Linked DNA regions of Drosophila melanogaster. The gene in region 1 interacts genetically with each later gene. Each region holds a gene or a part of one and is shown in the gene's direction. Other genes may lie near its edges. The genes, in order: pcx, Xbp1 and O-fut1.

Region 1 (11,158 bases):
CCTCCAGCCAGTGGGAGCACAGAGTATTTCTGGACTTTCAGAACCTGCACACAGTGCACACACACTCTCTGCCAGATGAATATCTAAATATACAAGTCTAAATATACAGGAATAGTTGTGATGTACGTCCGCCACTTATGGAATTTTGCTTTCGATTGATTTTTGCCATTCTCAACGCCCGGTTTGAAAATTCGAGCTGTGGGCTGGGGTTTATTGACTTGGCGGTTCGTGGCCATTTATGGCTAACAAATTCCAGCCAATGTTGCAGCAACACACACACTTCCAATCGGACAGGTTGATCGGAGCAGCTTCTTATCAGAAGCTCTAGAAGTGCGCTACCTAGTACACCAATGGGATTATGGATATGGATCGCAGATTCTGTTTCCAGGCAAAGTGCTCCCAATTGGGATAATGATCTGAGCCACACACACACACACACTCTCACACATAATACACTCAAACAAAATCGAAGTCTCGAAAAATCAGCAAGTGGGTCTCCCGAACGTGATCTCTCTCTGAACTGGAATCACTTTGTTATTGCACATTACTTCACTGCTTCTTTTTCGACTTTGTCACTGGGAATTTATTAATCACGACACCACTACTCTTGCAGCAGCAGCAACAATTGGTTCACACACAAACGCACCACAACAAAAACATAAAAGAAATGCAAATAAGCAGAGTGAATAACAAACTAAATGTAGCAAAACACTGCTGCTCATCACCAGCTTGTTGACGGATAATTCATCGAAATGGAATTACTCCCTCTATATGTATGCCGATGCTTAGTTATTTACTTTGTCTGGCTCGATTTTGCTGCGCCCCAACTTTCTTGCCCGACTGTTCTTTCAATACTAAAAAAAGATTTCGATTGGGGGGCGCACACACACACGCTGGCGCACTCAGCCAGTCTGCGCACAGTGGGCGTCATAGGCCCAGATTCTGGCTCTTCTAACTGCGAAAGCTCAGCCGATTAACAGCTTTTTAACACATTTTGTTTCAACAAACATATCTTATACGTGTAAATTATTTTCTTACATGCATACAGCCTATTTATCTTAATTAGTTTCGAAGTTAAGAAATCCAATTAAGCATAAAAATAGAAGAAATGTGCACTTAAGCCCACTTGGAGCGAGATTTTGACCACTGTTCGAGGGTGACGCTATTATCGCTGTTCTCTATTCTTTCGCTAGCTCGCTCGCTCGCTTTTTCTGTTTCCCCCTTTCTTAGCCGCTGCTTCTTCTTGCCGCTGGGACTCTGGCCGATGACAGCCAGTGATATCGATAGGCTCCGCATTCTATGAGTGATCGTATTTGAAATTGAATAGCGAACAAGTTCGGGATTCGCAATTAAATAACACCCGCAAATCTGGCAAATCGCCTGTACGATTGCATAATAGAAATATGCTCCATGTGCATGCGATCTATTTGTAACGTATTTCTCTATTTCTCGCGTTACGTGCCATGTACTCAAGTTAGCCGGGGAGTCGGGCGGGGGCTTAATAAATAAATCCAGGGGCTGAGCGACCATGCAACATATCTTTGTGAGTATTAAACACACGCTGCACTCCTGCTATTTACGTTGACTGAGTTTGGGTCTTCGGTGTGGGGCTCCGGCTCCTAGCTATTGAGTGCAGTTTTCCGTGCCTTCCGTCTGCGTGAGCTGCTGAAAAAAGGCATAGCTTTAGAAGAAGTTCACACACAGCCGAAACAAAACGGAAAAACAAAGAAAATAAACAATGGTAAAAACCCATCAATGGGGACGGAGCTCTCATGCCCTGCAAATTGGGGGAAAACCGAAGTCAGGGGTTACATTAATTCGGTGAATTGGGCAACCAATAAAGGTGGCTTTAGAAGATCCGAGCTTTTTATCTGATAGGTAATTGCAAAGTCTAGGTCTAATGTAACGCAAAAATTAGTAGCTAATACAGGTGCAAACTCCATACTTTCGTTGTGGGCTTTTATATACATAATATACACGCGTGATTTCTTCTTATTTTTAACAGTGCAAATTCCACAATTTGGGGCTAGCCTCCGTCTCGGTAGAGAGTAGTCCTCCTCTGGCTGAAAACCACCCACAATCCATGACACGATGATCGCTGCCATCCGAAATGAATGGAAATTGCAGGTTTTTCACTGAGCAGCCAACTCCGCTGTTTCGCGGCGCGTGCGCAGAAGCTCCACCAAGTGTGGCTCCACCAAAGCAGAGCGAGGCCCATGGCTCTGCCCATATCGTTGGTGGTGGACTGCGTCACGGAAGCGCAGAAGCCGCCAACTGGCGTCGGGGTATTCGTATTCCACCGCATTCCGTGTGCCTGCGCCTGTATAAATAAAATGGTCGCAGTGGGGCAGCAATCAAAGCAGCCGCTTCGTCGGAGCCTTCAACACCTCAGCACCTGGGTCTCAAGCCAAGCGATATGGATAACCGCAGTTTGGTGAGTGGCGACCGGGTATTGCAACTACACAAGGATTACACCCGATATCCGTGCTCCCTCTATTCGCAGCTCCTGAGGCTCTCAATTGTGGTGGCGCTGGTGTTGCTTCTCGTCTGCGTGCCGGAAACGGATGCGGGGTATGGATTATCATGGGGACTACTGGGCCAGATAGAGGATACATCGCGGCACAGGCCCCTTAACTTAAAGCGTCATTCAGATTAACGAACATTTTACAACTTCAAATCATAGAAAGCCAATCACTCTCGCTAAATAATTTCAAACGAACTTAGCTAAAATATTTAACTTAAGCTATATTAATAATCTTCCAAACGAAAAGTGTATGGAATCAAATAATTTATTAGGTTAAAAATGTATTTGCTATCCTTTTCAGGGGCCACCAGAAAAAAAAGAAAATCGTGATCCACGTGCCCATTCACAAGAAAATCGAAACGCACATACACACCGTGGTGAAACACGTGCACCACCACCACAAGCCACTCGTCCTAAAGGAGGAGAAGAAGGTGATCCACGAGGACCACCGACCCATCCAGATTCACCAGACCAAGGAACACATTCACCACCACGAGAAGCACGATCACCATGATCACCACGACCACCACGACCATCATGACCACCACGAGCACCACCACCCACTTCCGCCTCCGGTGGCGCCTCCAGCGCTGCCGGAACTCGAAGAGGAGGAGGAGCACATCCACCACCACCACAACTATGAGCACAGGGGCGGACTGCGAGACGACTTCATTGGCGGTGACGGGAGCAGCAGTGAGGAGCGCTGACTATGCAGCGCCCATGTGGGGGCGCAGACTGACCGGATGCGGCAGACGTGGACCGATCGATCGGATCATCCCGGATTCTTGTGATTCCCTAGATACGTACGCACTCTTTTTGTTTTTTTTTTTTTTCTAGCCTAATGGAAATGTGAACGGAAATAAAGTTAAATCGGAGGAAGGACTTAGTTTTAGAGAAGTGTTAAGGGCAACCAAAGACAAGGTTATTCATATTAGTTTTTTAGCCTTGCCATTATTTACTAAGTTAGGCTCTACGTAATGTTAGTAACGGGGTTTGGTAGTTTTAGCCCTTAAAACATTTATTTCTTTTGAATAAAATTGTACATTCATGGATATATAATTTACTATTAATAAATATGTTTTATATTACACTCAATTAATCGCTGTTAAAACGTATAAAAAGTTTACGAAAATTGAAGGTAATTTCATAAGAAATTATTAAGTTAACAAATTTAATTAATGGTAATGTAAAAAAGTGTGTAAAAGAAAGAAAATTTTAAATTTAAATACCAGACTGCAGTGTTACCATTTTTCCTAGTAATATCGAAGTGCGATAGGGCCCGATAGGTTCGGGCCAATAATCGATGACAGGACAGGCTCTAAACAAAAGAAAAAAATTAAAATTACAGCAGGATTGCGAGCGATATTCGTTTTATCCCATTGCAGCATCATTGAGATCCCGGAAAACAAACAACGGCGTAACGCCAGTCCGGAGTTGGAGTGTTTCCAGAGGAGCCGCAGCATTGTCTCCTGTCCCACAGCTTTCCCTCAAAAAAACCAGCGACTCTGCCTTTGCCTTCCCCTCCGCCCCCGTTCACCACCCACGCTACCACCGCCTCCCAAGGCCTCGCCCGCAGACCACGCCCCCCGCCTGCAGCTTGGCAGGCTTACTCAGCAAATAAACAAACGGAAGAGTGACGAAGTGCAGCGGCAGCAGAAGCAGCAACTCCTACTGTGAGTAATCCGGAAGCTGGAGCAGCAAAAGCGTGGATCCTCATCCATTCGGCGGCTAAGCGATGCAGTATAGGCCACCATGGGTTCACAGACCTTGGAGATTCTGCGCCAGGGCGTGTGGGCCTCGCTGACCGGCGGTTACTTTTACGATCCGCATCAGGGTGTCTTCTGCAACGTGGTGCACCTTTACCTGTGGCTCTACCTGCTCTGCTCGCCCTTCGTGGCCTACCTGGTAAGTAGTGACCGAGTGTAGTCCTAAGTAGTCCGTTCATAGATCTTCTTGCAGTACTTTCCGAGCACTTGGTTGACATGGTGCCTGTATTGCGTGATAACGAGCTTAACCATACTGATGGTAAAGCTGGCCAATCTGGCGCTGCACAGGCTCTACGATCGCGCACAGACCATGTCCGAGGGGAACCTAAAGGGGCAGTTCGTGAAGGTCACCAAGGAAACGGAACCGCGCCACGACGACGAGGGCGGCATCGAGATGAAGGTCATCCGACCGGGCGGCTCACGCATTTCCGGCGAGCAGGCCATTAATGAAGCAAGCGAGGAGAACAGCATCATGTCCATCGACAACGTGAACAGCATTATTGGTGAGTGGTGCTTCTTGTGCACACGTGCTATAGCCTAAGAACTCCTCTTCGCAGATCTCAAGGTCGATGTGCATCGCAAGAACAGCTCGGAGTCCATTGAACTGATGTTCTACGCCCCATCCATGCTATCCGGCGGTAGCCAACAGGATCAACAATCGCTGGCTGGTTCCGCCAGCGTTAGCAAGTCCATTCGGAGTACAGGACCGGGCGGAAACTCGTCCACCAGCGCCGCCGCTCAAGCAGACATGTTCAACAAGTACCTCACTGTCTATCCGGAGGTTGTCGAGGCGGCTGGAAGCAGTGCGGGTAGCGCAGATGGAGGAAGTAGTGGTGGCGACAGTAGATCAGGCGCAGCAGTGAGTACACTGGGACATACAGGAGCGGGAACAGCACCAGCCCAGCACGTACGCACTGGACATCTGTCGCGCAAGTGTTCTGAGGTGTTTAGCCGCCGCCATCGACGACGTCTCGAACGGCAGAGCAGCTTGGACACAGCGGCGGCAGCTGCAAACTCCAACGCGGAAAACAAGTTGATGCGCAATCAGTCGGATACGATAGCCACAGCGGCACCCTCGTTCCTGCACTCTCAGCCAACGAACAAGGCGCGCGGTCAGACCAATCCGCGTCAGCACTTTATAACCAGCGCCCCATCAACAGGAATAGGCGGAGGAGATGCTCCCACTTCATCTACCGCCGTCGTTGTCATTGCCCCCGCCTCGAACTCATTGGTTAATCCTGGACGTTCCTCACGTCTGCAGCGCCACAGAAGTTCGGAGACGCATGACGAGCGGCTGAAGCACCAGAGCCGTGGTGGACTCTTCCAGCCCATTCTTCAACTTCCGCACCACAGTGCAGCCAGCAGCATCGGCGCACTGGCAGTGCTCGGTGGAGGAGGCAATGTTGCCGCAAATGATGTGGAAGACATGGAACTGGGCCTGGTTAGGAATGCGGGCAGCGGCGGAGTGGCGGATGCTTGTAGCCGGGCACTACAGTCCTGGATATTAGGTAAGCTGATACAATATCAGAACTCTTCATTGTCGTAGTTTAGAAATCTCAATAAATTAGTTTTAATATGTACTATGTTGCCCATTTAGATCCCTTTCCGGATGGGTACCTGGAGGACGATAGCTACACCAAATCTGATCTGGGCATTGAACAGCCACACCAGCCAACTTTCCGCACCCAGCATCGTCATCACCATCACCACCACCACCTGCATCATCACCTAGGAGGTGCAATCATTCGTAAGGATCCAACCAGCACAATGTCTGCACTTCAATTGGCTGCAGTCACCCAGCCAGGAACGGGAGGATCGGTAACAGGCGGTGGTGGAGCAGCAGGTGGAGGTGGATCTGCTGCTGGTATGAAGCGACGCAGACATTCCAACGCTACGAGCTACAAGCACGGCTCGAGCCAGAGCAACAAATCGTCTCTGGTGGGCGGCGGAGGTTCCAGGGGTCCGTCTGGAGAAGCAGGCACTTCCGGAGGGGCCGGAGGAACTGGTGGAGTGAGGCGCATTAAGAGCGCAGCCCTGGAGGTTCTGTGCCCGCAGCCCTCTGTATCCAATCTTAGTCCACACCCCAACAGCGTGGAGGCCATCTCGGGTCAACAACAGATGCGGAACCCTCTACCACCTCCTAGCAAAAGTCTGGTGCGAAACCAGCACCTTAACCTTTATCCTACGCAAGGCTATGGCGACGGAACTCCCTCCGCTGGAGGAGGAGGGCCTGGTAACAGCAGCACATGCAGCAGTCTCTTTTTCGGCAGCTCCAGCGCCTGCGGTTCCACAACAGCATTGATTGAACCTCCAGTATACCCCATAGTGGAGCACTCTGACGAGAAGACGGCGCACGAAGAACACGGTGATGATTGCTTGGGAATAGGACAAGGCAACGCCGACGATGACGATGAGGTGGACGACGTCCCGATCCGAAGAAGAACGCGGGCGTTAGGCTGCAGCCAAACGCACTACAGTGTTGAATCGGATGTAGGTGGCTTCTTGGCAGACGAAGTCGGTGCTGACGAGGATGTGTTTAAAGATTTCGACGACAACCTTGAGCACATTCTTAGTGAGCTGCAGCAGACGCATAATCAGCTGGATGACGTCCTAAAGACCCACGATCTCCATCACCACTCGCATTTGCACCATCATAAAGCAGCATCAGTGGAGGGCGCTGGGCCGTCGGGAGGATCCGTGGCAGTAGGGGTAAGTGCCGGAAATGATGACGAAGACGAGGAAACGGAGGATAATAACACGGGGTCGAGATCTCCATTGCTCAACGATCGCAATCGCCAGCCGGCAACACTGCGAGAGATTCAAGCTGACAAGCAACTCCGTCAGGAGCTATCACACCAGTCCGGGGCAGTAATTCCTGCCCCTAATCCTCCCGTCCCCATACGCAGCGAGGCGGACTCAGGCTGCCCTTCAAGTGATTGCGAGCAAGTGAGCGCCAGCTCCAAGGACCAACTCCTGTCGGGAATAGAGTTGGAGCTGCAGCAGTATCAGATCCTGCAAAGGTGTCAACTAGACGAAGAGCAACCATGCACCTCGAAAATGGCTGCCAAAAGCCTGGGAGCCATTCCAAAAGTGGTAAAGTACCGAGAAGTGGATGAACTAAGAAGAAGACGCAGAGGAGGCTCCCCGGCAGATGCGGCTGAGGCTGGAAACGAGTTTGCCCTAGTCAAACAGACCAAGCAGGCCTCGCGGAATTCCTCCTCCTCGAATTCGACGCACAGCATCAGCTTGACCGATAGCCTGACGGCTGACATTCACAAGATGCTCTGGCTGATGCACGGCGGAGCCGTCGATGACCGGGGCCGTCCAATCACCGGCACCTCGGCGGACGGCACTCCAATCCCGGCAAGCAGCAGCCTGGTCCCGCCGAACATGTCCAACGCACACTTCCAGTTCTACCAGGATGCTATTCAAGCGCTTCAGGGCACCCATCCCACTTCCGGTTCCAGTGTGGAACACATGACCAACATTGAGTTGGCTAGGGATAAGTTGCGCCTGGATGCCAAATTGATGTGCGAGCAGCTGGTTGCGGCGGCGGAGGCCAACTCAGGAGTCCGAGGAAACACACTCGCAACTCAGCAAATGACGCAGCAGCAGGTGGGCATGTTAATGCGCGGAGGCTCTAGCTCCCGGCACCCATCCAGTGCTCCGTTCTCGGTCCAAGGATTAATCAATGTGATCCGAAGTGAGCGCCCGGCAGCGCGCAGTCAATTGGACGCCTTGCAGCAACTAAGTGATGCAGCAGCAGCATTGGCCGCTAATGCCAGTGAGGCTGCCTCCGTTTCAGCCTCCGGTGCAGGAGGAGGAGCATCGAGTGGCGGGGGAGGAGTTTTAAGCGCCCTAGGACTGGCGAATCACCCCAGCAACCAGATCAGCCAAATCAGTCAGCTCAGTCAGATGAGCCAACCCATGCTGAATGTGGACGGGCATTTTGCACCCTACTGCGACTACTGGAGACCCGCGTGCCTTCTATCCGCGACAGAAAAGCCAGCGGCTCCAAAGAGTTTCTACAAGTACCGATTCAAGTGGTGCGGCCAAGAGCATGAGTTCAAGATTGCCATGGACCGGCTAGAGCTTCTTGCCCTGTTCGACCGTGATCTCCACTGGATGCACGTCCTTCTGGCCAGTCTGCTGTGCACCCTGGTAGCCTGCTTGGGAGCGGCGATCTTGCAGCACGATCACTACAAGGATCTATGTGCCCTGCTCTTCTGCGCAGTGATCGCGGGAGCTCAGTACTCGCTAGTAAAAAGTGTGCAACCGGACGCAGCTTCGCCAGTGCACGGATTCAACAAGACAGTCGCCTACTCGCGGGCTATATACTTCTGCCTTGCCGGGGGCATGCTGTTGCTACTAAAGCGCCTAGATACGGACTACGGGGAACGGACACCGGACCCTGTGGTATTCTTTGGCATGCGCTACTCTCCTGCTGATGTGGTTGCCCTCCTTCTGCAGGCGCTCTACATCTTGCTGCTGTGCTTCCCCATCATATTCTCGGTGGGATTGTGTCCCCAGATAAACACGTTTCTTATGTACCTGCTCGAGCAGATCGACATGCATGTCTTTGGCGGAAATGCTGCTAGCAGTCTTCTAGGTGAGAACTCTTTAATCCCTATTTTGCTTCTTAGACTAATTCCTAATACTGTACAGGTTCCTTTTTGTGCGTCGTCCGGTCGGTGCTAGCTGTAATGCTGCTTTACGGACCTCTGTACGGAGCATTGGACGAGCAGCGCGGGACGCAGTACATTCTGTTCTCCATCTTCTGCGCTATGCTGGTACCCCTGGGCTACCATCTGTCTCGATGTGCCAGCGACTTCAGCCACCTGTGGCGGCTGATCAAGACGTGCATTGTGAGCACGTATCGGGACGATGAGGATGAAGATCTCAGCCAGATGCAACATATAGCAACCGGAACAGTTACTGGATCAGGGACTGCCAATAGCACTGCCCTTCAATTGACCACCAGTACTCCAAAGCAGCACAGGCAAACAGACGTAAAAACGGAACATGAGCAGATCGAGCTGAGTTCGCTAGAAAAGCTAACAGTCAACGAAGAACATCACGAGAAAGATCACGGAGCAGATGATCAACTAGAGACGGATCAAGATCTGCCTCTGCAACAAAAGCACAGCAAATCAAAAACTTCGTCCTTGGGCAGCAGTCAGCAAACCCTGGGTAAGACGATCAGCAGTAGCAAGAGGGCCATAACCGCCTCCAGTTCGTGTACCTCCATTGGAACGGGAGAACCAGCGGTGGAAGCTGGAGCTTTGACCGAGGAGGCGGTGGAAGGCGAGGAGCAACGTAGGAATACACTGGCTGGCGAGGTGGGGAGCAAGCACGAATTAGCGGAGAACTATGACCAAGCCGCCAAAATTGATGAGTGTGAAGACAAGATCTCCAGCTCATCTGCCACAAACCCCGGGGACATGTCTACGTTGACAGCGGGGGCGGGCACAGCCACCACTGATGCCACACCCGCTTGCCTGGAGGCAGATCCTGACGCCGAAGCTGAGGCACCTGCTGACGAAAAGCAACATCAGGGGATTCTGGGAACGGGAACTGGAACTGGAACTGGAACTACCGAAGCCAGTGAAAATGGCAGCGGTGGCGGCGCTAACGGAAATACCAATAGCAATGGGACTGGCAACGACCTTCCCGATCCACTACCACGAAAGCTGCAGGCTACAGTAACAACTCGGCTGAAGAACGACTTGGTGGTGATGACCCTGCTGGCGGTCAGTGTACTGGGGTTGCACTGTAGCACTGTATTCACCGCCCTGCAGCCGGATCTCAACGTGGTTCTCTACTCGTTCATCGGCGTACTTGGACTTCTCCTGCACTACATAGTGCCGCAGATGAGAAAGCATATGCCCTGGCTTTGTTTCTCCCGTCCGTTGCTCCGGCAGCGTGAGTTCGGCCAGTTTGAGGTGCTCAACGCCCCCAAGATCATGTGGTTCGAAAAGCTCTACATTTACCTCAGTGTCCTGGAGCGGAATGTGCTCTTTCCCCTGCTGGCCATTTCCTCTCTAACGGCGGACTCGCAGTTGATTGTGGCTAAGTTTGGATTGCCCTGGGGCACGCTCATCGTGGCGATCTGCGCCCTAAAGTGTGAGTCATCCGATCATAGAAATCGATCATTTGAAATCGTTATTAAATGTATATTAATATATCTAAAGACTGAACGGCAAACCCTATATGCAGATCTTCCATCTCCCTCACTTTTAAGCTAATCCCAATCCATCTATCTCTTTTTATCAGTTGTAAGGAACGCTTACTCGGATCCGACCAACCAGTACCTGATAATAATTTTTACGGTTCTGCTATTCCGCATCGACTTTGCCATGGCCACAGAGACATTCATTATAGATTATTTCTTTGTGTCGCTGGCCTTTCGCAAGTGCTGTGACTTCCTGCTTAAGGTGAGAACTTGGCCTGGCCATTATACTATTCTAATAAATGCTAATGCATGTTCTTTCTTAGCTGCAATTTATTGTGACGTACATCGCTCCGTGGCAAATTACTTGGGGATCGGCCTTCCACGCCTTCGCCCAGCCATTTAGTGTACCGCACTCGGCAATGCTGTTCCTGCAGGCGGCCATCTCCGCAGTGCTCTCCACTCCCCTCAATCCGTTTTTGGGCAGCGCCATCTTTCTCACTTCGTATGTGCGTCCTATTAAGTTCTGGGAGCGGGACTACAACACGCGCCGGATAGACCACTCCAATACAAGGCTAAGCTCCCAGCTCGAGCGGGACTTGGGTGCGGACGATAACAACCTCAACAGCATCTTCTACGAGCACTTAACCCGCTCTCTGCAGCACTCCCTGTGCGGCGATCTCCTGATGGGTCGCTGGG
Region 2 (11,037 bases), on another chromosome or scaffold:
TGGTTTTTAGCTGTCTTTAGCTGCGATCGCAATCTCTCACACAGTTGAATTGTTTTCAGGCACTAGCGCTATTTGGCTCCATTGCATTTGAGTTTCGTTATTTAATACTTTTGTCGATTGTCTCGATTTCGCTTTGTTTCGCTTGTCTGCGTGAATGTTTTTAGATAAACTTTGAACGCTTCTTCATTTTGCCGTTTAAATAATTGTTATGTCATTGAGCTGTCATTCCGGTTCGTGAAGCTGCAAAACAGAACAATCAAAAGAGAAACCATTAATTAGCAGTATGCAAAGTAATATAAACAATTACCATGTGTATGCATACAATAATCGTAAAGCAATAAAGAACGCTTCAGTTCGATTTGGCATGATGCTCATTTTTATTTTAAGATGCAAATATGTGCGACCTCTTTTAATATTTGCTAAAATGTATTTAAAACTGGTGTTTTAAAGCAATATATTTAGCAACCCAATAGAAACAGCTGAGTTCCATTAACTGGAATCTCAAGAGATTGGGAACTCTTGCTTGAAGATTTACAACACTTTATTATTATGAAATTCCTTAATACCCGCAACTTAAACTGCATGGCATGAAAATCATCGCCACATACTTTGAATATCCAACATTGCTGGGTGGTACCAGCTCGCTCTCCACCTCCAAACCTCCAAACCAAGTCCCAGAGCCAACTATCCAGTTAGACAGCTCCCGGCCAGACAAGCGCATTGTTCGATGGCTTGGTCCAGACTGCAGTTGCAAGTGGGGCCAATCAGTAGATTGTTCAGTTAGGCTAGTCAGTATCCATGGCAACCATAGCCGCAGAAAAAAAAACCCCTCCATTGTTGACATTGCAATTTAACGGCGAGCTGCTTCGACTTTCCCATGCCAGACGCATAGTTATAATTATTTTTGTGTGCATTTCATGGCGAGGTTTATCTTAAATTTTCGCCACTTAAAGCCATTTTTTGCAGTCTTCAAGTGCGCTTAAGAAAACCAGCTCGGTTTACTTGGATCCATATATAAAAAAAAAAACAAACTTTCTTTGTTTAATTTGGTGCAGTTAAACATTTGAGCCAGCTAGTTTTAAAACAAATTATATTTTCAGAGCAGATTGAGGCAAGTTTGCAACTCTCGCTACTTTTGAATATGCATTTATATGTATTTCAAAATAAAAGAGCTAGTTTCCCCGCTGCAAATATGAAAACGTTGACTCACGACACACACACAATTATGAGCGCGGGGTAAGGAATAAGAAAATTAACTGTGCGAAAAAAGGGGCATCAAACACGGCAGCAACATAAAGTTCCTCAAGCGAAAAATTTACTCCAATGAGAAAAAAGGCACAACGACGATCGTTGTGTGGATGGAAGCGGCATGGAGGTGGCCACAGGGCAGGGGGAGTACTCCGTGAGGCACACAGCGAGCTGCGGGCACCGCCAAGCCAAGAATTCCAGAAACGACAAACAAAACAACGGCGGAGAGAAACAAGTTTTTCAGAGTATGCCAGCAGATCGCCAGAAAACCGAAAACTGAACTAAGAACTGAAAACCGAAAAACGAAAACTGAAAACCGAAAGGCAACCCCCACAAGTACACAAAAGAAAACGTATAGAGTCCCTTTTGTGGATTACGATTTGATAAGGATTTGGATATTGTCTGTTTTCTGTGTCCCATAATTATAGGGATATTGCTCTAAAAGTACCAATTCCACTGCTCGTTTCTTTGAGTGTAGGGACACGTAACAGGAACGATCCGCGATGGTGGTAGCGATGGTGGTTGCTCCACTTGCCACACCGAGATCCTTCGCAGACCGCAAATGTATGTGCCCAGCCACCTGTCGTTTGAGCATTTCCCATTAGAGAAAAGCCGCAAAAGGAGCGGCAAGCAAAGTTGGTTGAAGGCAAGGAAGGAAAGGAAAGGAAAAGGAAAAAAAAAGATCGGGCCACTTTCGACAAACAGGCGGCGCACGACCAGAAAAAAAATGCCTAGTAACAAATGGCAATCAACAAGGGGAGCGGCTATGGAAAAGCAAGTGAAAAGCGAATAGTTAAGGCCACAATTTCACTGCACGGGGAAAATTCATCATCGGCGTTTATGGGCGCCTGAGGTTTACTGTGAAGTGAGTTGCAATCATATCCAAATGTGGTTAGGCCAGCACGTTATCTTCTTATTTTTGCACATTTAAGTTGGGATTTGATTGCATGAGGATATAACCTATTATTAGCAAAAGAAAGTCTTAACTGTTAGTACTAGTAAGCATTGATAAAAGCATGAACAGTTCTTCAGAAACTAGCAAGTTATGCTCGAAGTAAACAAAATCATCTTTTTTTCATGCAAATTGATCAGCAATCATGGAAACTAGCTTTCAACAGTCGAGTGCCAGATACATTTGCAAATATTTATCTTTTCACGCACGCCTCGCTAATTGCCATCGATCAGAGATAAACTTTCTATCGGGTAATGAAGCAAAGTGGTCAATGCCATGGGCAGAAATTGGAAAAATGTCAATGGGGGAGATAAATAACATTTTCAGTCACTTTCAAAATTCGCACCTTGTTTATTTCTGCTGCCGTTTTGAGTTGTTTTGCTTATTTATTTGGCTCGAAAACGAGTGTTAAGCGAGGGATCGATGATCAGTTTTGAGCATCCAAGTGTCGAACACTTTCCATTTTTATGGTGATTTTCGTTGTTTCTCTTTTTTTTTCTGAAAACGCGTATTTCTGAACACACATGCACATACACTTGTCAACACAACTGAGAGTTGCAGTGGCACTTGTTAACTGTGGTATTATGGCCAAGTTTTTGAACTTGTTGTGGGCCAAAAACCTCCTGGAAAACCCGTTGGAATCGCCGAACGACGTTACACACCTGCGACGATATGTGAAACGAGTTGCTCGTTTTCCATTTAACGCTGCATTCAATTGCAATTCGATTTTCCCGCAACGCGAACCGCACTCCACGGAATATCGAAAACAAATGAAAACTGAGGTGGCGCGTTGAGTTGAGTTGGAAAACCTGTTGCTGCCAAACGACGCACACAGATGCAAATGCTCAGCGACAACAAGCAAATGCAGTCTATTTCGTCCTTTAAAAGGCACTGGAAAGTCTCGAACTTCACTGTTTGGGTAACATGAAATCTTTAGCTAAACGATTGTCTCAACTTTAATTGCAAATTAATGGGAAACAAATTAAAAACACGAAACGAAAAACAAAACAGAAAACAAAATAACGCGACGCTCAACACGACTGCTTCGCAGGCAGTTATCGACTGATGCTTATCGGTCGATATTCACCACACCTAGTATGACCACAGGGGCGATACCCTTTGCTTGGCGCCATTATCGATTTCCGATCGTTATTTTCAAATTCGAAATATAAACAGCAAACCTTTAATAATGCTTCAATCAGAAAACATATAAATCAGGAAAAAATAAATCGTATTTTAAAATTATCAGTTTATTTATTAAATTCTAAAGTATATACCCGCGATGGAAGTTGGTGGTAGGCATTACATAAAATGAGCATCGCACCTCCGCTTGATATCACTAACCTTTTGTAGTTACCCTAAACAACGAACTCGAGGAAAAGATTTCGGAAGCATTTTGCATATTTGATACTCATGGCGATAAGTATATTGATTCCCGCAATGTCGGCAACGTGCTCCGATTTTTAGGTTGCGCGCCCACCGAAAAAGAGGTCGAAGATGTCATTAAAGCCACCGATTCCGTCGACTATCCAGGCGAAGCCCATTTGGTGAAGTTCATGGAACACGTTTCCAAACTGCTGATGGATCGACAGTTATTCAATATACTTTAGGTTTGTTTAGCAACTAACGATATTTGTCCACAGAATGGAACCAGCCTCGTCGGAAAAGCTTCTCGAGGCCTTTGAGACCCTGGATCCAGAAAATAAAAAATATCTGACCAAGGAGTACTTCGGCAAATTAATGGCGGAGGAAGGAGAACCTTTCTCCGCTGAAGAATTGGATGCTATGTGGCCTGTGGCAATTGATCCCATTACTGGACACATTCCCTACACCTTCTACATAAATCAACTCAGGGTAAGATCGCATTTCCCAACTACTTTTGATTGGATTCATCTAAAATTTCCAGCACAAGCCTGATATCTATGAAATTGCCGAGGTTATCAAGGAGGAACTAGCACAAGCCGAAAAAGAAAAGGGCAAGAAACCACAACAACCACTGTTTTAGATGCCCCTTTAATCAAGCAATTGCAAATAACGCGGAAAATAAATTTATACATTTTATAACAAATAATTTCCTTTCTCGTTTTTACTGTTCCACATTGAGATATAGACGGTCACACTGCCATGCGCAATTCGAGATGGCATAGTCGTTGTTCTATGTTTGGATATTAAAATGAATTGTGTGAAAAATTTAAGGAACTATTTTTTGTTTTAAGATATTGCCTGAAATGTTACAATATATTTATTAAATCCAATAAAAAAAAATTTACAATACATTTAAGCGCTTTTACAAATCATCGTTGCTCTAAATTAACTGAATTTGTAATCGATAGCCCGATACGTGCTGCTCCATCCCTCATTACCCCAACTCTTCTAGAAAAACACGTCAGCTTTTCACAGCCATTCGGAAAAGAACACGTCAGCAGAAAGGAAAACTGGTCGGTCGATATTGCAAAGGTGGATGAGAAAATTGCGTGAGACGGAGCCAGAAAAGCCCGAGTCGGCGGCGATGAAGAGATTCAAACCAGCAGAGCGTCCGAGAAGCGCAGTCGAAGTTCATGAGACGACCTAAAACAAGCAAAAGTTAAAATACGCTCTTACAATGCAAATCTAAGTGGAAAGTCGCTTTTCACAATTGCACACAGCACACAGCAGTTTATCATTTAGCCCCGAACCAGTTAAACATGGCACCCACAGCAAACACAGTGCTAATTACCGTGCCGCGGACAGCAATCACATCGAATAATCTGCCCAAATTGCGGCCCGCCCCCCTTACGGCAGCTCTGCTGAAGGTGTCGGCCACGCCCTCCGCCTCGCCCACGCCCTCGAGTTCGGGATACGCATCCTCGTCGAACATGGATGACGATAACATGGCTGCATCCCAGCCCAAGGCCAAGAAGCGTCGCCTGGACCATCTAACCTGGGAGGAGAAAGTGCAAAGAAAGTAAGTCCACCCAACTTTTAACCAAATTTGAGCGCCTTATTTAACTGTTATTATCGAACAACAGGAAGCTAAAGAACCGTGTGGCCGCCCAGACATCGCGTGACCGCAAGAAGGCACGCATGGAGGAGATGGACTACGAGATCAAGGAGCTGACAGACAGAACGGAAATACTACAGAACAAGTGCGATAGCCTGCAGGCCATCAACGAGTCACTGCTGGCCAAGAACCACAAGCTGGACTCGGAGCTGGAGCTGCTGCGCCAAGAACTCGCCGAACTGAAGCAGCAACAGCAGCACAACACCAGATGCATCAGCCAATCCAACGCCAGCGCAGGCGCTGAGGGCTGTGCGTCCACCAACCTTGGATCTGCAGCATCCAAAGCTGACCCTCTGCCGCAGGGTATACAACAGGTGGACACACAGTCGTCAGCGCGTCTGCTGGCGGAGCAGCTGAAGAGCAGCAAGAGCCTGGCCTCACTCTGGAAAGTTGTGGCCCTCTGCCTACTCTACAAGACATGCTTGGCGTCGACGAAGAGTTCGACGTCAAGCGCCTCGAAGAGCTGGCCGAAAGTCTGCTCGCAGATATCACAGCAGACCTGGAAACAGGCGCTGGAGCGAGCAGCCCAGCTGCTGCCCAAGATGCAGGCAACGCAGAGCGATTGCCTGGACCAATGGTGGGGCCCGCAGCAGAGCGCTTGGAATCCGACGGGCATAGAGCTAATGGCCTGAATGTTGAGCAGGAACAGGAAACCGAGCACAAGGTCAGCCTAAATGTGCAGATGTTGAAGATAAATGGAAACCCACAGCATACCACAGCAGCGCCAGCCTCGAGAACAGCCACAATCACAGCGACAGCGGCCGCCTCGCAACTACAGGCCACTCCGGACACAGTGTACGGCACGTATGATGCCAAGACGAACTCGATCACCATCGTGATGGACGGGGATGCGGTGCCGGTGAACGAGGCCGTCGAGGAGATCTACTGTGACGGCGTCAGCGCTGGCGACGACTCAACGGACGTGATCATGAAGTGTCCGCCGCCAGCGACGTCTCCGTCACAGGTCTATCTCAACGTGATGAACGCCGTCGACAATTCGGACGACGAGGAAAGCTTCGATCCGATCGACCGATTCCTACGTCCGCGCGTTAAGGCGATCTCCCCGTTGGCCAAATCCCCCGCATTGTCTCTACACTCGGCCACCTCGGACCATGGATACGAGTCCATACTGGGCTCTCCCACATCCGTGGCTCTCACTCTGCCCGCAGATGAGGACGATTTCCCCTGGGAGAGCAACTTTGACGAGCTGTTTCCCAGTTTGATCTGAGTTTTTCAAGCTGAAAACTTCGTTCTGTCTCTCTTTTATTGTTAAGTTTGGCCGGCCGCCGTTTGTTTAAGTTTTTTAGTTGATAGGCTGTACATAAATTCATAATCGAAGGCTTTATATATGATACTGTAGTTAGAGCGCTAAGTTTAGCTGTAGGTTTCCATTTATATTTAACAATCTCTAACCACATAGGCTTATGATTACTCTTATATGTATGTATTGTGCTCAAAGAATTTGAAAAAAAAACATTTGACTAAAAAATATTCAAAATATAAACCAAACCAAACAACAAGCTCTTTGTTTTTGTTTACTCTAGGCGAAACAGAACTTTGAACTGCGTATGATAAATAGTTAATCACGCCACTTCTCTAGCATCACGCCACTTTTTTATGACGCAATTTCTGCGTAGATGATGGGACAGTTTTAGGTGTAAGCATATGAGTCATTTTGTTTTTATTAACCAAATATATATATATTACAAAAAGTGAGTTGAACTGACTGCAGATAATGCGGATAGGTGAAATAAAACCACAACTATGCTCTGAAATATATGCACCTTATTTATTAGTATATTATTCATTAATAAGACGAAATACAGCTCTGTTTTTCTCCAAACTGAACTAGGATTTAAACAAGATTTTGCTAAGCTCGAAAAATATATTTTTTAAAGAATATAAATAGAGCCACCCTAATGCGCCAGCAAAAGCGAATTTGTTTCGGAACTAGTTCGAAAAAGTTGTTTATAGACTTGAACCAGTTTTTGCTTACGAACCACATACCTGTGATTTTGCAGAAAGATAAACAATTTTTAAATGCAATAGAGTGTACGGTTAAACAGAAATGACGGAACCAACGAGCAAGACACCGGATGCGGTTCCGGAATCACCCGTATCACTGCCCATCGCCTCCCAATCCATGGATACGGCGACCATTGAAGATTTCGACGAGGACAAACCGGCCAAGGGAAAGAAGAAAGCCAAGAATCCAAAGGGTCGCCACTCGGATTCCGACATCGGCTCCGAACTGAAGAAGCTGGCCCAGCGCCGGATCAACGTAGCCGGTGCTCCAAAAATGCCACTTAATGGCTACGTCCGCTTCATGAACGATCGACGCGAGGAACTGCGACGGGAGCAGCCACAACGTACTGCCCTGGAGCACACAAGGATCATCGGCGAGGAGTGGCATCAGCTGCCCGAGGAGCGCAAGTTGCCCTACATCGAGGCAGCCGCCAAGGACAAGGCCATGTAAGCTCACACTTCGTTTCCAACCCACAAAATCTAAACATATCTTCCCATTTTCGTAGATATCAGGAGCAGTTGCAAATGTTTCTCAAGGAACACCCCGAAATTGTGGCCAACGAGTTGGCCAAAGCCAAGAAAGCCACAAAACTGGATGGTTCGCCCAAGGAAAAGACGCCGAAGGGTGAATCAGCCTTGGGCAAGGCGAAGAAGACCAAGGCAAAGCCGGTTAAGCGGCAGAGCGAGGATCCGGATGATGTGCCTCTGGCCAAGGTGAAGCGTGCCCAGACACCACCGCCTCCCACACCGCCAGCGGCTCCAGTACAGCCCCCTCCCAGCAGCGTGCCACCTGCGACACCTGCACCACGACCGCTGCAGCCCGGCGAGATACCCATCTACACCAACGAGTTCATCGAACACAATCGCAGCACGGAGAATGAGCTGAGGACGCTGCGCAAGGCCAAGACCGATCTGGAGCAGCAGAACGCTGTGCTGGAACAGCACGTAGATAATACGAAAGCCGGGTACGCCAAGGTGATGGGCGAGGTAACTGAGCTCATGGAGGAGAACCAACGCCTGGAGACCTATTTGCGCGCCTTGCGCCAGAAACTGGTCGCAGCTCTCGGCGGAATCTCGATGCCACCACTGGAGCCAAGTGGTCCCAGCGTTGGCAACATTGACAAGTACATCCGGCACTTAGCCGGGCTCGTCACTCAGCCAAGCAACGTCACTTTGATTAAGGCACGAGAGGCGCTGCGTAAAGTGGACACCAGTAGCTTGCTAAAACCGTGATTCATAGTACAGTATTCATAGCGTTAATAACTTCACCATAAACAATAGTCATAGTCATAGAACAATAGTTATCAATGCCAAGGATATCAAAAGAGAAAACCGAATAACAATAAAATATCCGCAGCATTTGTATGTAGCCAAGTTTTGGGAGCGCCCACTTTTGTATTTGTTAACGTCTGTAAGTTAGGAGACTACTCGTATGTACCCAAGAATATCCTCATTTTTAGTTGTCCTTGGGAGCGTCAACGCCGAGAGCGAGGCTGCGATGAGAGGGAAAACGTGGCACTTTACGTGGTCCTGCCGTGATCAGTCCGGCATCGCCATCCACGGAACTCTGCAGCCTTGGCGCCTTGGTCCGACGATTCAAACAGTTGCGTAGAATATAGTAGCCTCCCAGCATCAGGGGAATCACCATTACCGGGTGACACGCTATCCCAAGCACAAACAGAAATGTGGACATCATCAGGTTGATTAGGGCCTCTGTGGATCGGGTCGTGCCGATTGAGTAAGGCGAACATGGTCGTGAGCGATACACTTACGTTCAATGCTCGAAATGGTGGCCACTGTTGTGTAGATCGCATACGAAATGGCTTCAAGCACACTATAAATATAGTAGATCAGCATTTTGGATTTGTTGAATTTCCTGGTGGAACTGAACTGCTAAAGCGATTCGGGCAACTGGGAAAAGTCAAAAAGTACAACTGAAGCAAAGGTTCCTACGACTATGAAACAATAAGAAAAACTAAATTAACTAAATTAATCAAAATAGAATTTATACTTGCTTCTCGCAGCGAAAGGTTTCTTTATTATTAAACAAAATAGTCGACGTTTCACTTCGCGTAAATAAACTAAAGCGTTTCTCTTAGTTGTTTTCGATTTTTTGTTTCTTAGGAACAGCAGAACTAAACAAAAATAAATTAAAACTTAAAAGAAAATCGTTTTTCGTTTGATGTTTGTTTTCAAAAAGTATAGGTTCTAAATTATAGCATACATTTAAGGTTTTATAACAAAAATAATTTAATGAGATAATAAATCAAGGGCGCAGACTTCAAAAATATTCCATTGAATCGTTGGGCAAGAGGCAGAGGTCGTGCAAAACTCCTGGCATCTCCCCAAGATCATGGCCATCACTTCGGTTGGTCCAACTCTGTCACAGCGTTTGGTAAAAAATAGAAAACATTTTACATAGGATTTTGGGGGGTACTTCCTTGGCTTTCTTCATGAATTAAAAAATATACGAATCGCCATTTTCATTTTGTTATTATTTTTAGAAATTTGTGTTCTGTTCTTATCGCTCTCAAATGTTTCTCGAGTTCTCGAATCATCTTGTTAAAGTAATCATGTACTTTTCGTGTTAGAGGGAGTTTACTAAATGTGTATGTGGTGTGTGGTGTGGTGGCGGGCAGCCGATTTAAAACAGTGCTTTAAATGATCTGAGAATATTGAAACGGGCGGTCAGTTATGTAAGGAAATTTCTGTTTGGAATGCCGAATTAATTGAGGAAATTGGATTTGATTGAACAATTTGAATTTTTGGAAGGGGGGGAAATGTTTAGCAGTTTTGAGCTGCATTCATCAGTGCTGCCTGCGCTTCTGTGGCGGTGATTAAATTTTAAAGGAAACTGCTTATTTATATTACGGACATTCAGATATTGTATGCAAACATCTTCTTGGAACCGGCACCAGGTTACGGCCTGCTCATCGTTTGCTGTGGCGACGGTTGTTTGCGTTTCTTTTCCCTAATTCATATAAAGTATAATAATCTCAAACTTGTCGTCGCAGATGCATGTGCGAGGACGACGACGACGATGACGTCAAGGACTGCTGCTGCTGCTGCTGCTGCTGTTGGCGTCAGGCATCCGCACCGTTGGGGTTCATGCCCACCGGCGACACCACCATCATGTTGCCATTCTTCGGCGTGTAAACGCTAGCATTGGGATCCAGCGTTGAGCCCCCGTTTCCGTTGGCAGCAGCGGCATTGGCTGCAGCAGCGGCATTTGCTGCAGCCACCTGGAAGGCAGCTGCCACACTGACCGGCACCATTTGCTGCTGGGACCCAGGCCCACCGCCACCCTGCTGCTGATGCTGCTGGTGTTGTTGGTGCTGCTGATGTTGTTGGTGCTGCTGCTGATGCTGCTGCTGCTGATGTTGCTGATGCTGTTGGTGCTGCTGTTGCTGATGCTGCTGATGTTGCTGATGTTGCTGATGCTGTTGGTGCTGTTGGTGTTGCTGGTGCTGCTGATGCTGTTGGTACTCCTGCGCAGCGCTCAGACTGAGCATGGGCGAGGACGGTCCGGGACCCGACTGCAACGGCGGCGTGTCGTTCATGCGCAGAATGCTGCTCGACGGCCCATGTGGGCCAGTGTTCATGCACAAGTTGTCTGGCATCACGGCCAAAAGTTGGGCAATCTTTGCCTTGAGATCGATGACCTCATCCTCCTTGGAGCGACGATGGTCTGCGGGAGTGGATATATCAACTAGCTATCAACATTAAAACAAAAGCCAATTTTTCAACTCACTGTCAGATATTTCAATCTGGC
Region 3 (10,456 bases), on another chromosome or scaffold:
AATGCAGACCCGTATATTTGATCCTGCGCCCGCTGGCAGCCGAAAGGTTGTTATAGCCACCAATATTGCTGAAACTTCACTTACAATCGATGGCATATTCTATGTGGTAGATCCTGGTTTCGTGAAACAGAAGGTGTACAACTCGAAAACGGGCATGGACTCGCTGGTGGTCACTCCCATTTCACAAGCGGCAGCAAAGCAAAGAGCGGGAAGAGCCGGACGTACAGGCCCAGGAAAAACGTACCGTCTCTATACGGAACGTGCGTATCGAGATGAAATGCTGCCCACGCCGGTGCCAGAAATCCAGCGAACCAATTTGGCCACAACAGTACTCCAACTAAAGACAATGGGAATTAACGATCTGCTGCACTTTGATTTCATGGACGCCCCGCCTGTGGAATCGCTGGTGATGGCGCTCGAGCAACTACATTCCCTATCAGCATTGGATGACGAAGGCCTGCTTACTCGACTGGGCAGACGCATGGCGGAGTTTCCCCTCGAGCCGAATCTATCCAAGATGCTTATAATGTCCGTCGCTCTGCAGTGTTCCGATGAGATTTTGACTATTGTTTCGATGCTCAGTGTGCAGAACGTGTTTTACAGGCCAAAGGACAAGCAGGCACTGGCGGATCAGAAAAAGGCCAAATTCAATCAAGCGGAAGGTAAGTCAATCCTTATCATATTAATGAAACATTTCCTAACGATCGTTTCTGCACAGGTGACCATCTGACGCTGCTGGCCGTTTACAACAGTTGGAAGAACAACAAATTCTCAAATGCCTGGTGCTACGAAAACTTCGTACAGATACGAACTCTAAAACGCAGCCAGGATGTGAGGAAGCAGCTGCTGGGAATCATGGACAGGCACAAATTGGATGTCGTATCCGCTGGAAAAAACTCTGTGCGCATTCAGAAGGCAATCTGCTCCGGATTCTTCCGCAATGCAGCAAAAAAGGATCCGCAGGAGGGATATCGTACCCTGGTCGACTCCCAGGTCGTTTACATTCATCCGTCGAGTGCTCTCTTCAATCGCCAGCCAGAGTGGGTCATCTATCACGAGCTGGTGCAGACCACCAAGGAGTATATGCGTGAAGTAACAACGATCGATCCCAAATGGTTGGTGGAATTTGCTCCGTCCTTCTTCCGCTTCTCGGACCCCACGAAGCTAAGCAAATTCAAGAAGAATCAGCGCCTGGAGCCACTGTACAATAAGTACGAGGAGCCCAATGCCTGGCGTATCTCACGCGTTCGTCGACGTCGCAATTAATGGACTAAGCCCGTTTATGTCTGTAATTTTTTGTATTTTAAGCGCTTAAAAATATAATTTAAGTTTAAAACTCAGTAGCCCTTGCGACCTCGAAAGCGCTGTCGGTTGTCCAACTGAAAGATGGGTGGGTATATGTTTAGCTTAGGAATAATGGATATTTTATAGAGACCCACCAGGGAGCGCTTGCACTCGTAGAAGGTATTGCGGAGCACCTGGCACTCAGCTGGAACGTTGTTGTCCTGGAGGCACTGGCGCGGCGTTTTGCCCATTTTGCAGCAGTCGCTCTCCAGGAGGCACATCTTGAGATCCGCACGTACTCCCGCGCACGCTGTCTCATCGGCCAGCCTCTCGTTGCCCTCGTAGCGCATCATTTTCGTATGTATACAGCGATATATTAATTTATATTTTTGATTATTTTGTGGACCAGTTATAAAACCACTGGACAGCTGATAAACAAACAGCCGGTTTAATGTTGATTAACGTTCAAAGCGTAGTCAGCTGCCGTCATGGGTGTAGTGCTAAATCAGAAGGGGTTATGGCAGCTTTGTTTACTGTTTTATGAACACCGCCCACATATTAAACAATATGTTATATACACATTTATCTGAAAATTAATAAAATATATAAAATGAAGTATCTTTATTCCCCGTTTAATATGTTGAGGAGTCGCCCATTTTTTATGAACTCAAAACATTCTACGGTGCTCAACACTGCTTTTGAGCCAGAAAAAGTGCTGTAAATGATGCAAAGTTTGGTCCTCCAACCGCACAAAAACATTGTGGCTTGAATTTATTTAAATGTAGCTCCCGGTACAAGCAATTGAACCAATCGATATGACCTACGACGAGCGCAGTAGTGATGGCAGCAGCTCTAGCGAAACACATGATTCCTTCGCCCACCTGCTGGCAACCAAGCAGGGCCAATCCCAGACACCGGCCACAGCGATGCCCAAACACATTCCCTTCCCGGAGCACGCCACCACATCCGAGTGGCTCAGCGAACTCATCATGTGCGCCTTTACCATGGGTTCGGCCATCGTACAGTTCATCAACATCTATAGAACCAACTGGTGGCTGCCACAGGCGCACACCAGGCATATGGTGGTGGGTTTGCAGAGGTTTTCCATATGTATCAACAAGGACATTAATCCATAATCTATCTATGCACTCAGAACATCGAGCTGATCGATCCTTATCTTCGCTATCTACTGCTCATACTCAATACGCGGAGACTGATTTACTGCTTGCTGCTGGTGAAGATCAGGAAAAGAAACGAGAAGAGCCGGCATCTTATCCGACTGGGAATCAAGTACGGATTTGGAGGCCTTGTTCAGCTATCCTTGGGTTTCTGCGCCATGAAGCTATACCAGAAGCACACATACATACTCCTTCTCTTCTTATTCTATCCGTAAGAATGAAAAGTATTTTATATCCAAAGATATTCATATATTCTCTTTTATAGTGTGGTCATCTACCTGTTGATCTTCGGCTTCCAGCTTGAACCCTTCCTGCGCACACGATTCGAACTGCCGGGCGTGTATATCAACGACCTACCGGTCCATAGTTGCACCACCAATCCGGTTAACATAAGGGACGAAGTGGAAACACTCCGACATGACTTCAATAAGCGATTCAAGCAGCTTATCTTCACCTCCATGCTGAATGCTTACTACACTGGCCTGGTGCCCTGCTGTCTGGCCGTCAGTGTCCAATACAATGTACTCCGAGCAGCCCAGCACTGTATCATTGTGTGCCTGGGCGCTTTCAGTCTGTGTGCTGTTTTTCTATATCCTGCCAAGTATAGTGATACATTACATCGGGCTACTTTACATTTGGGCTGCTGGCAGCGCATTGACCGGGAGCCAGCGCCTTCGCAGCTAATAGTAGCCGCCAGTGCGCTCACCTGGTCGAAATACTCCTCCTACAACCACGGCACCGTGGTAAAGCACAACGGAGGCCTGTACAGAAGTCATGGCATGGTTACTGTGGCCACTCCGGGAAACGCCAGTCACGCTCGATTTTATGTGAGTATCTTACAAGTGGGGTATTAAATCATAAGTTCAACGTTATCATTAAAAAGTTTATTCATAATTTTTGCAGAAACTATTTCACAATCCCACCATAATTTATTCCACATTGGCCATCCTTCAGGCTGCCGTGCTACTAGTAGAAATAGGGTCTCTAAGCGCAGAAAGCGTCGAGTGGCACTTTGTCCTCTCCATCAGCTTCGTCGCCTTCACCAGCATGGGAGCCTTCTTCAAGCTGGTGCGAGACTACCTCATCACTAAAGATCTTTACAAGGCGGAGCACGCCGTAGCGCCCGATCAACCCTTCCGACAACGCATGAGAGATGCATTTATGTAGTAACCATCCAAAGAATAATATATTAACTTTTATTCGGCAGAGCTTTTGCTTTTATCATCTTGCTTTTCACAGGACACGGCAAACACCCAGGAGCTGCCCTGTTTGTGGTCGCGGACCTGAATGCCGTGCTGTTGTAACAAGCTCCTCAGTTCATCACAGGCGGCTAAAAGCTGCGGGTTCTTAACATTTCCGGAGGTGGCCCTTTCCCGCATTCTTCCCCGAACGTTTATCACATCATTCACAAGCAAATTGGGATCAATGCTATGATCCGTAAAGGAAACCTTTTCTTGCAACGATTCTTTATCCTGCAACTCTGATAGACCAAACGTGACTATGGCACGGTTTATGAAGTTTCCAGCTGCCAACAGCAGATCAATGCAGTAGGCGGGCTCCTCCTGTGCGTCCACTTGCTGCTCATTTATGCAGCGACTTATGCTGCTCATCTGATCGATTAGCACGCTGATGGCTCTGGCGGTATCGAAATCATCTCGAAGGCAATTATCGAATTCGGTTACTGTATGAGTCAGTTGGGCCTTTAACGCTCCCTCGTCTAACAAGTGCACGGGCTTCAGGAATTGGGTATAGGCACTTAGATCGGCCTGAAAGTTTCTAAACCGCTGCAGGGTCTGGCGAGCCGTCACCATCAACTGATCGCTATAAGGCATTGCATTGCGGTAATTGGACAGCAGGCAGGCCATTCGAAACTCATCGGCGGTGTACTTCTTCAGCAGCTCCGACACGGAGATCGTGTTGCCCAGAGACTTTGACATCTTCTCCCGATCTCCAACCATATGAAGTTGTCCGGTGTGCACCCAATAGTTTACCCACTGGTCAGTTTTATACCGTGCACAGCACTGCGCCTCCTCGTTTTCGTGGTGCGGAAAACGCAAGTCCAAGCCGCCAGCATGAATGTCCAACTGGCGGCCAAAGAATAAACCTGCAATGGCGCTGCATTCAATGTGCCAACCGGGGCGTCCCTCGCCACCCCAGGGTGCAGCCCACGTGGGCTCACTGCCACTTTTACGCGCCTTCCACAAGGCAAAATCGGCAGTGTTTCGTTTGATGGGGTCCAATTTGTCCTCGCTTAGGCCTAAGTTTTGAAGCTTTCCATAGTTCTTGCTTTTGGAGACATCAAAGTAAACAGAGTTATCCGGGGTAACGTAAGCCTGCTTTCCGTCTATCAGCTGCTGAATGAACTGAATAATGACAGGCATGGTGGTAGTCACATGACTGCGCACATCCGGCGCCTGAACATTGAGACGCAACATGTCCTGACGAAATTCCGCTTCATAAGCTCGCGCCATCTTCTGCCAGTCCAGTCCAGCGAGCTGGGCCCGCTTAATGATCTTGTCGTCAACATCCGTGATGTTCATGGCTGTCACCAGGTTGATTTTAAAATAATCGCGGAGAATGCGCTGCAGGATGTCTACCTTGACATAGGTGCTGGCATGACCTAGGTGCGCGGAGTCATAAACAGTGGGTCCGCAAGTGTACCATGTGACCATTTGGGGATTGCGTAGGATTAGGGGTACCTTCTGCCGCAAGCCGTGATTGTATATATTGATTCCTGTGTGCTGGCCAATTGGTTTTCTCCATTTAAACGGACTATCCTGTTTGGGAGCCTCCTCCGAAATGTTGCGCCGGCAAATGAGAGCTGGTCTCGTTCGACTGTTAAGAGCCCGGAGCCCCTCCTTGCTGTGGGAAACATTTGGGCTTAGAAATACAAAAAAGACACTATCCGCATAAATACTCACAGGCTATACATTGTTATATATTGTAAATTTTGTCTAAAGTCTAAATAAAATTATTTCTAAAGTTTCATGTAAGCAATAACATCTGATTAGAAAATAATAGGTTGCCAGATCTGAGCTTTTTAGCCCATAGTAAGAAAGTCTCACAATAAAATTAAAAAATAATTTCACAATATAATTTCATAAATTTTCAAATATATATTTATGTTTGCAATTATATTTATATCACATCATAAACAAAAGCATTCCAAACATTTTGTAATCTGGCAAAGAGACAGAGTTGCCACCTGGTCAAAGAAAATCGAAGCCGGCAGAATGCAGTGGCTCAAAATGAAGCTTCGCTTCGTAAACTTAATTTTACTATTAATAAGCTCAACATGTGCCCAATTGGGGGGCGATCCCAATGGCTACCTCACCTACTGTCCGTGTATGGGTAAGTTTCACTTGGAAGCAACCGAAAAACGACAACTAAACCGCGCTTTTCAAAGGACGCTTTGGCAACCAGGCCGACCACTTCCTGGGATCATTGGCCTTCGCCAAGGCGCTTAATCGCACCCTGATCCTGCCGCCGTGGGTGGAGTATCGTAGGGGTGAACTGCGATCCCGTCAGGTACCGTTCAACACATATTTTGAAGTGGAGCCCCTGAAGGAATACCATCGCGTCATCACCATGGCAGATTTCATGTGGCACCTGGCCGACGACATTTGGCCAGAATCGGAGCGAGTGTCATTTTGCTACAAGGAACGATATAGCCTTCAGCAGGAGAAGAACGATCCAGACAAGCCCAATTGCCACGCCAAGGATGGCAATCCTTTTGGTCCCTTTTGGGACACTTTTCACATAGACTTTGTGCGGTCAGAGTTCTATGCGCCACTTCATTTTGATGTGCATCATAGCAACGAGGCTGCCAAGTGGCAGACCAAATATCCTGCAGAATCATATCCCGTACTCGCGTTCACCGGAGCTCCGGCTAGTTTTCCTGTTCAGCTAGAGAACTGCAAGCTGCAGCGCTACTTGCAGTGGAGTCAACGGTATAGGGAAGCATCTAAGGATTTCATCCGAGAGCAGTTGCCTCGGGGTGCCTTTTTGGGCATTCATCTGCGCAACGGTATCGATTGGGTGAGAGCCTGTGAGCACGTCAAGGATAGCCAGCATCTGTTTGCCTCGCCGCAGTGCTTGGGCTATAAAAATGAACGTGGTGCACTCTACCCGGAGCTCTGCATGCCCTCCAAGGAGGCGATCATCCGCCAGCTAAAGAGAACCATTAAGAACGTGCGCCAAACTCAGCCGGACAACGAAATCAAATCAGTTTTCGTGGCGTCAGACTCCAATCACATGATTGGTGAACTAAACACGGCCCTTAGTCGCATGGGCATCAGTGTGCACAAGCTGCCGGAGGATGATCCTTACCTGGACTTGGCCATTCTCGGACAGTCGAACCACTTTATCGGCAACTGTATATCCTCTTACTCGGCATTCGAAAAAAGGGAACGAGATGTGCACGGTTTTCCATCGTACTTCTGGGGATTCCCCAAGGAAAAGGATCGTAAGCATACAAACGTGCACGAGGAGCTGTAATGGAGCAACAGGATTATCTACTTAAATACTCGAATAGGCTATTTTTCGGTTTTCTTTCCTAATACTAGACAGTTTTATTACATTGATTAAGCAATATTCTGGACTTCACTTCTTAAATGGTTAAGGTAAAAGTTTCAACTTACAAATTTAATGAATTTACTTTTGAATGTTACCAATATTTAGTGCTTTTAAAGAATATCAGTATATTTATGTTTTATTCTTTTAGCTTTAATTCTTAAAAAGGATTTTAATGAAACCCGTTAAATGCCTTCAAAAACACTACAACTTAATTGTAAGCTATTAAAGTATTCCTCGCATTTATGAAAACACTTGTTTGCTACCGATTTTACTTATAAATTTATTCAAGTTATCCAGCCCTCTCGCATTCTTGAAAATAATTTAGGTCGTCACTCCAGTGCCCCGAGGCCAGCATTTGTTCATCATCAGTGCAATTTTTTGGAAGTGGTGCGCCTAGTGTATCAGCTTCTGGGATCGAGCCAGATCCAGTTGCGCCGAGGAGACGCTCGTTAGACCCTCGCGCACTGTGCTGAGGTTCTCCTTCCATGCCTGCAGCAAATCGCGAAGCTGCTCCCATTGTGGTGCTCCAAAGGTTCGGTGCATTGTCGATGAGATGTGTACCTTTTGATTGGCCTGATCTAGTCGTGCGCGTACCAGCTTTGTTTTCAGCACCTCGATGACGAAGGGCTCCACCTCGTCTTCGTTGATCTGCAGCTCCTTGGTAAGCGTTTCGAATGTCATCTCCGGGCTGCTCTCGGCCAGCTGCATGAAGGTCAGCAGACGCATCTTCTTCATGTTCTGCTCATGGTTCAATCCTTGCGAGTTGACAAACTCCCTGTGATCCTCGTAGAACTGCACGTACGCTGGCAGCTTCTCGGACACGAAGATGGACAGCAGGTCGTGGATGAGGTCGCCTTCCAAAAAGCGCACAGGCTTCAGCGACAGCAGAGGATCCAGCAGGAATGTATTGGGGTCGGCCAAGGCAGTCACAATGCACTTCATGGCATCCTCACGGGCAACACAAGCATTGTCCGCCGTGTAGGTGCCCAGCAGCTCAATCATAACCTTGGAAGACAGCTCCAGGTTGGTGTCCTTGGTCACGTCGTGCAGCAGGCGGTACAGCTTCTGCATCTGTTCCGACGAAGGTGGGCAGTTGGCAAACTGGGATTTGAGCTGATCCACACCTGAGAAGACCTCCAGCACCTGTTCGCACTGCTTGGCCACCTGGACCAGGTGGTAGTACACATGGTAGCGTAAGGGAGAGGCGGTGTCCAGGTTGTTGAACAGACGCCACAACGACTGAAGGCACACCTTGCCCAATGGAAGATTGGGAGCCTTGGTCATCTTCTCGCAGTAGGCCAGGACAATGTTCTCACCGCGATCCAGGGGTATCTGAAATATTGAAGGTTATTTTTTGTTGCTAATATTGTATTCTGTATTACTCACCGTGATCATGATGGACACAATGCTGTTTAGAATTCCATCAATCTGCGAGGGCTCACCATCCTTAAAGCAAACGTCGCAGACGCCGATGATCTTGTGCAAATCATCCTCCACACCTTTATTGGACTTCTCCGATGAGATTTCGGCTCCCAGCTTCTTGAAATACTTGCGCAGCTCTTGCACCTTTTAATAAATTGCGAATAATATTAGTTTTGTTTTGCAGCAAGAGGAAGACATAACCTCAATTCGGGCAAGGCGCCGCCCGAATTCATGGCTAAAACAGGGCACTTTCACTCTACCTGCTCGTCCAGGGACAGGTCTATGAAAACCGGATGCGAAGTCATGGTTTTGTTAAATGTTATTCCACTTTTTTAAACAAATTCAGCTGAAAATAACACGCACACACGTCTTCGGCGCTTTGACAGCTCGAAAGGAAAGAGAGCGACCAGTGCTGCCGGCCTGGTCCGTTTCCCGCTAATAGCGATGCTCTCAAACAATTGACCGAATTAAATTAAGATGACGTTAACGTGGCCACTTAAAATATATAATATTCCTCTGAAATTCATTCAGTTCAATAAAATTAAAATAGTTATGGCTTTGCAAGTGTATTAATGCTGACATAAAAATCAATTTTATAAATGTTTTGACGGGACTCTAGCTAACAATAAATGTGGGCAAAAGTAGTGTTCCCGGATCTTCTGAAACATATAAGTCACTAAGTGACTTCTTAGCCGTACCGTTACTAACGTTCTAAAACCCGTTTCTCCTGAATTTTAAATTTACCATCCAGCAGTTATTTATTTTACATTTATCACTTTACAGTTAAGCAAAATGACACGATTTTTGTTAAATTGTTAATTTGGCGACAGTCTGGCAACTCCGCTGCTACTAAGTTATATTGCTCGCCAAATTTATATTATATTTGTATAACGGGCGAGAAGAGCAGGAGTAATGCCAGCTAATCGGGGCGGAGAATTATGAAATACACGACACACACGCAGCGTGCGGCTTCCTAGAGCCACAGAGATTCCGCAGCAGGCGGTACAACCGTTACTAGTCAACCACTATCCTCAGCAGAACTCGTGATTACATGGCTACATCGGATTTTGTTCTGGGCGGCCTGGCCTCCGTGGGGGCCACCTTCTTCACCAATCCCATCGAGGTGATCAAGACACGGATCCAGCTGCAGGGCGAGCTGGCGGCACGGGGTACCTATGTGGAGCCCTACAAGGGGATTGTCAATGCCTTCATTACGGTGGCCAAAAATGATGGCATTACGGGGCTCCAAAAGGGCCTCGCACCGGCCTTGTACTTCCAGTTCATCATCAATTCCTTCCGGTGGGGAATTATTTAGTAGCTATATTTTATAATTATTAATCATCTTGAATTTACATTCGCCAGGCTCAGCATTTATTCGGAGGCAATGGAGAGGCGGTGGATGCACAACCGGAAGGGTGAGGTGTCCTACGGAATGGGACTACTGTGGGGCGCCATCGGCGGCGTCGTGGGGTGCTACTTCTCCAGTCCATTTTTCCTGGTACGCCAATTGTGGGAATGCTGCGGGAGGTTACATAAACAAATACATAGTTTATCTAAATGAGCCGCGTGCTCATCAGCATTATGGACCTTCCACAGATAAGAGACTTTATTGGCAATTGTCCATCAGTATCTAAATACTACCATTTCAAGATATCCAGGGAGAAAGTATTATACTTCCAAATATTCCATATTTTTTGACTGTTTATGGTTGTTTGCATTGCTTATTACTTTATGACATAACGCATTTATTGTTAGCCTATTTATACCAAGACATTTTCAAGATCTAGAAACAGAAAAATATTCGCTAAATAACTTAATAAGTATTGTAAACATTAACATATTATCACAGTCAATTCTCTTATGTACAATGTCTATATTTCTATATTATTATTTATGGTCCTTTCTTTTGCATCCAGATCAAAACTCAGCTGCAATCACAAGCCGCCAAGCAAATCGCCGTTGGCTACCAACATGCCCATACTTCCATGACAGATGCC

The links.
Region 2: of pcx (region 1) and Xbp1, changing one suppresses a phenotype caused by changing the other (phenotypic suppression), as found in Drosophila melanogaster (one study listed by BioGRID).
Region 3: of pcx (region 1) and O-fut1, changing one suppresses a phenotype caused by changing the other (phenotypic suppression), as found in Drosophila melanogaster (one study listed by BioGRID).

Annotation. Positions count from the first base shown.
Region 1 is NC_004354.4:2,221,435-2,232,592, forward strand, and holds the start of pcx (pecanex), read left to right. Parts: upstream 1-3,861; 5' UTR 3,862-4,276; coding exon 4,277-4,429; intron 4,430-4,471; coding exon 4,472-4,793; intron 4,794-4,847; coding exon 4,848-5,798; intron 5,799-5,887; coding exon 5,888-8,899; intron 8,900-8,955; coding exon 8,956-10,413; intron 10,414-10,563; coding exon 10,564-10,724; intron 10,725-10,785; coding exon 10,786-11,158. Other genes in the region: CG14052 (uncharacterized protein), read left to right, coding at 2,417-2,434, 2,504-2,571, 2,826-3,231. UniProt on the Drosophila melanogaster protein: Involved in neurogenesis.
Region 2 is NT_033778.4:21,138,993-21,150,029, forward strand, and holds Xbp1 (X box binding protein-1), read left to right. Parts: upstream 1-4,556; 5' UTR 4,557-4,884; coding exon 4,885-5,144; intron 5,145-5,208; coding exon 5,209-5,872; coding exon of another isoform or gene 5,873-6,468; 3' UTR 6,469-6,758; downstream 6,759-11,037. Other genes in the region: CG9406 (uncharacterized protein), read left to right, coding at 3,483-3,495, 3,554-3,791, 3,844-4,054, 4,107-4,205; Hmg-2 (high mobility group protein 2), read left to right, coding at 7,309-7,712, 7,772-8,498; CG15657 (uncharacterized protein), read right to left, coding at 8,722-8,978, 9,038-9,122; CG30389 (uncharacterized protein), read right to left, coding at 10,349-10,953, 11,017-11,037.
Region 3 is NT_033778.4:14,155,768-14,166,223, forward strand, and holds O-fut1 (O-fucosyltransferase 1), read left to right. Parts: upstream 1-5,662; 5' UTR 5,663-5,695; coding exon 5,696-5,813; intron 5,814-5,868; coding exon 5,869-6,959; 3' UTR 6,960-7,287; downstream 7,288-10,456. Other genes in the region: pea (peanuts), read left to right, coding at 1-662, 719-1,266; CG13018 (uncharacterized protein), read right to left, coding at 1,338-1,379, 1,440-1,637; CG13016 (uncharacterized protein), read left to right, coding at 2,100-2,369, 2,438-2,673, 2,728-3,289, 3,366-3,629; CysRS-m (Cysteinyl-tRNA synthetase, mitochondrial), read right to left, coding at 3,659-5,324, 5,384-5,394; eIF3m (eukaryotic translation initiation factor 3 subunit m), read right to left, coding at 7,431-8,369, 8,424-8,603, 8,720-8,764; CG8323 (uncharacterized protein), read left to right, coding at 9,511-9,758, 9,822-9,957, 10,376-10,456.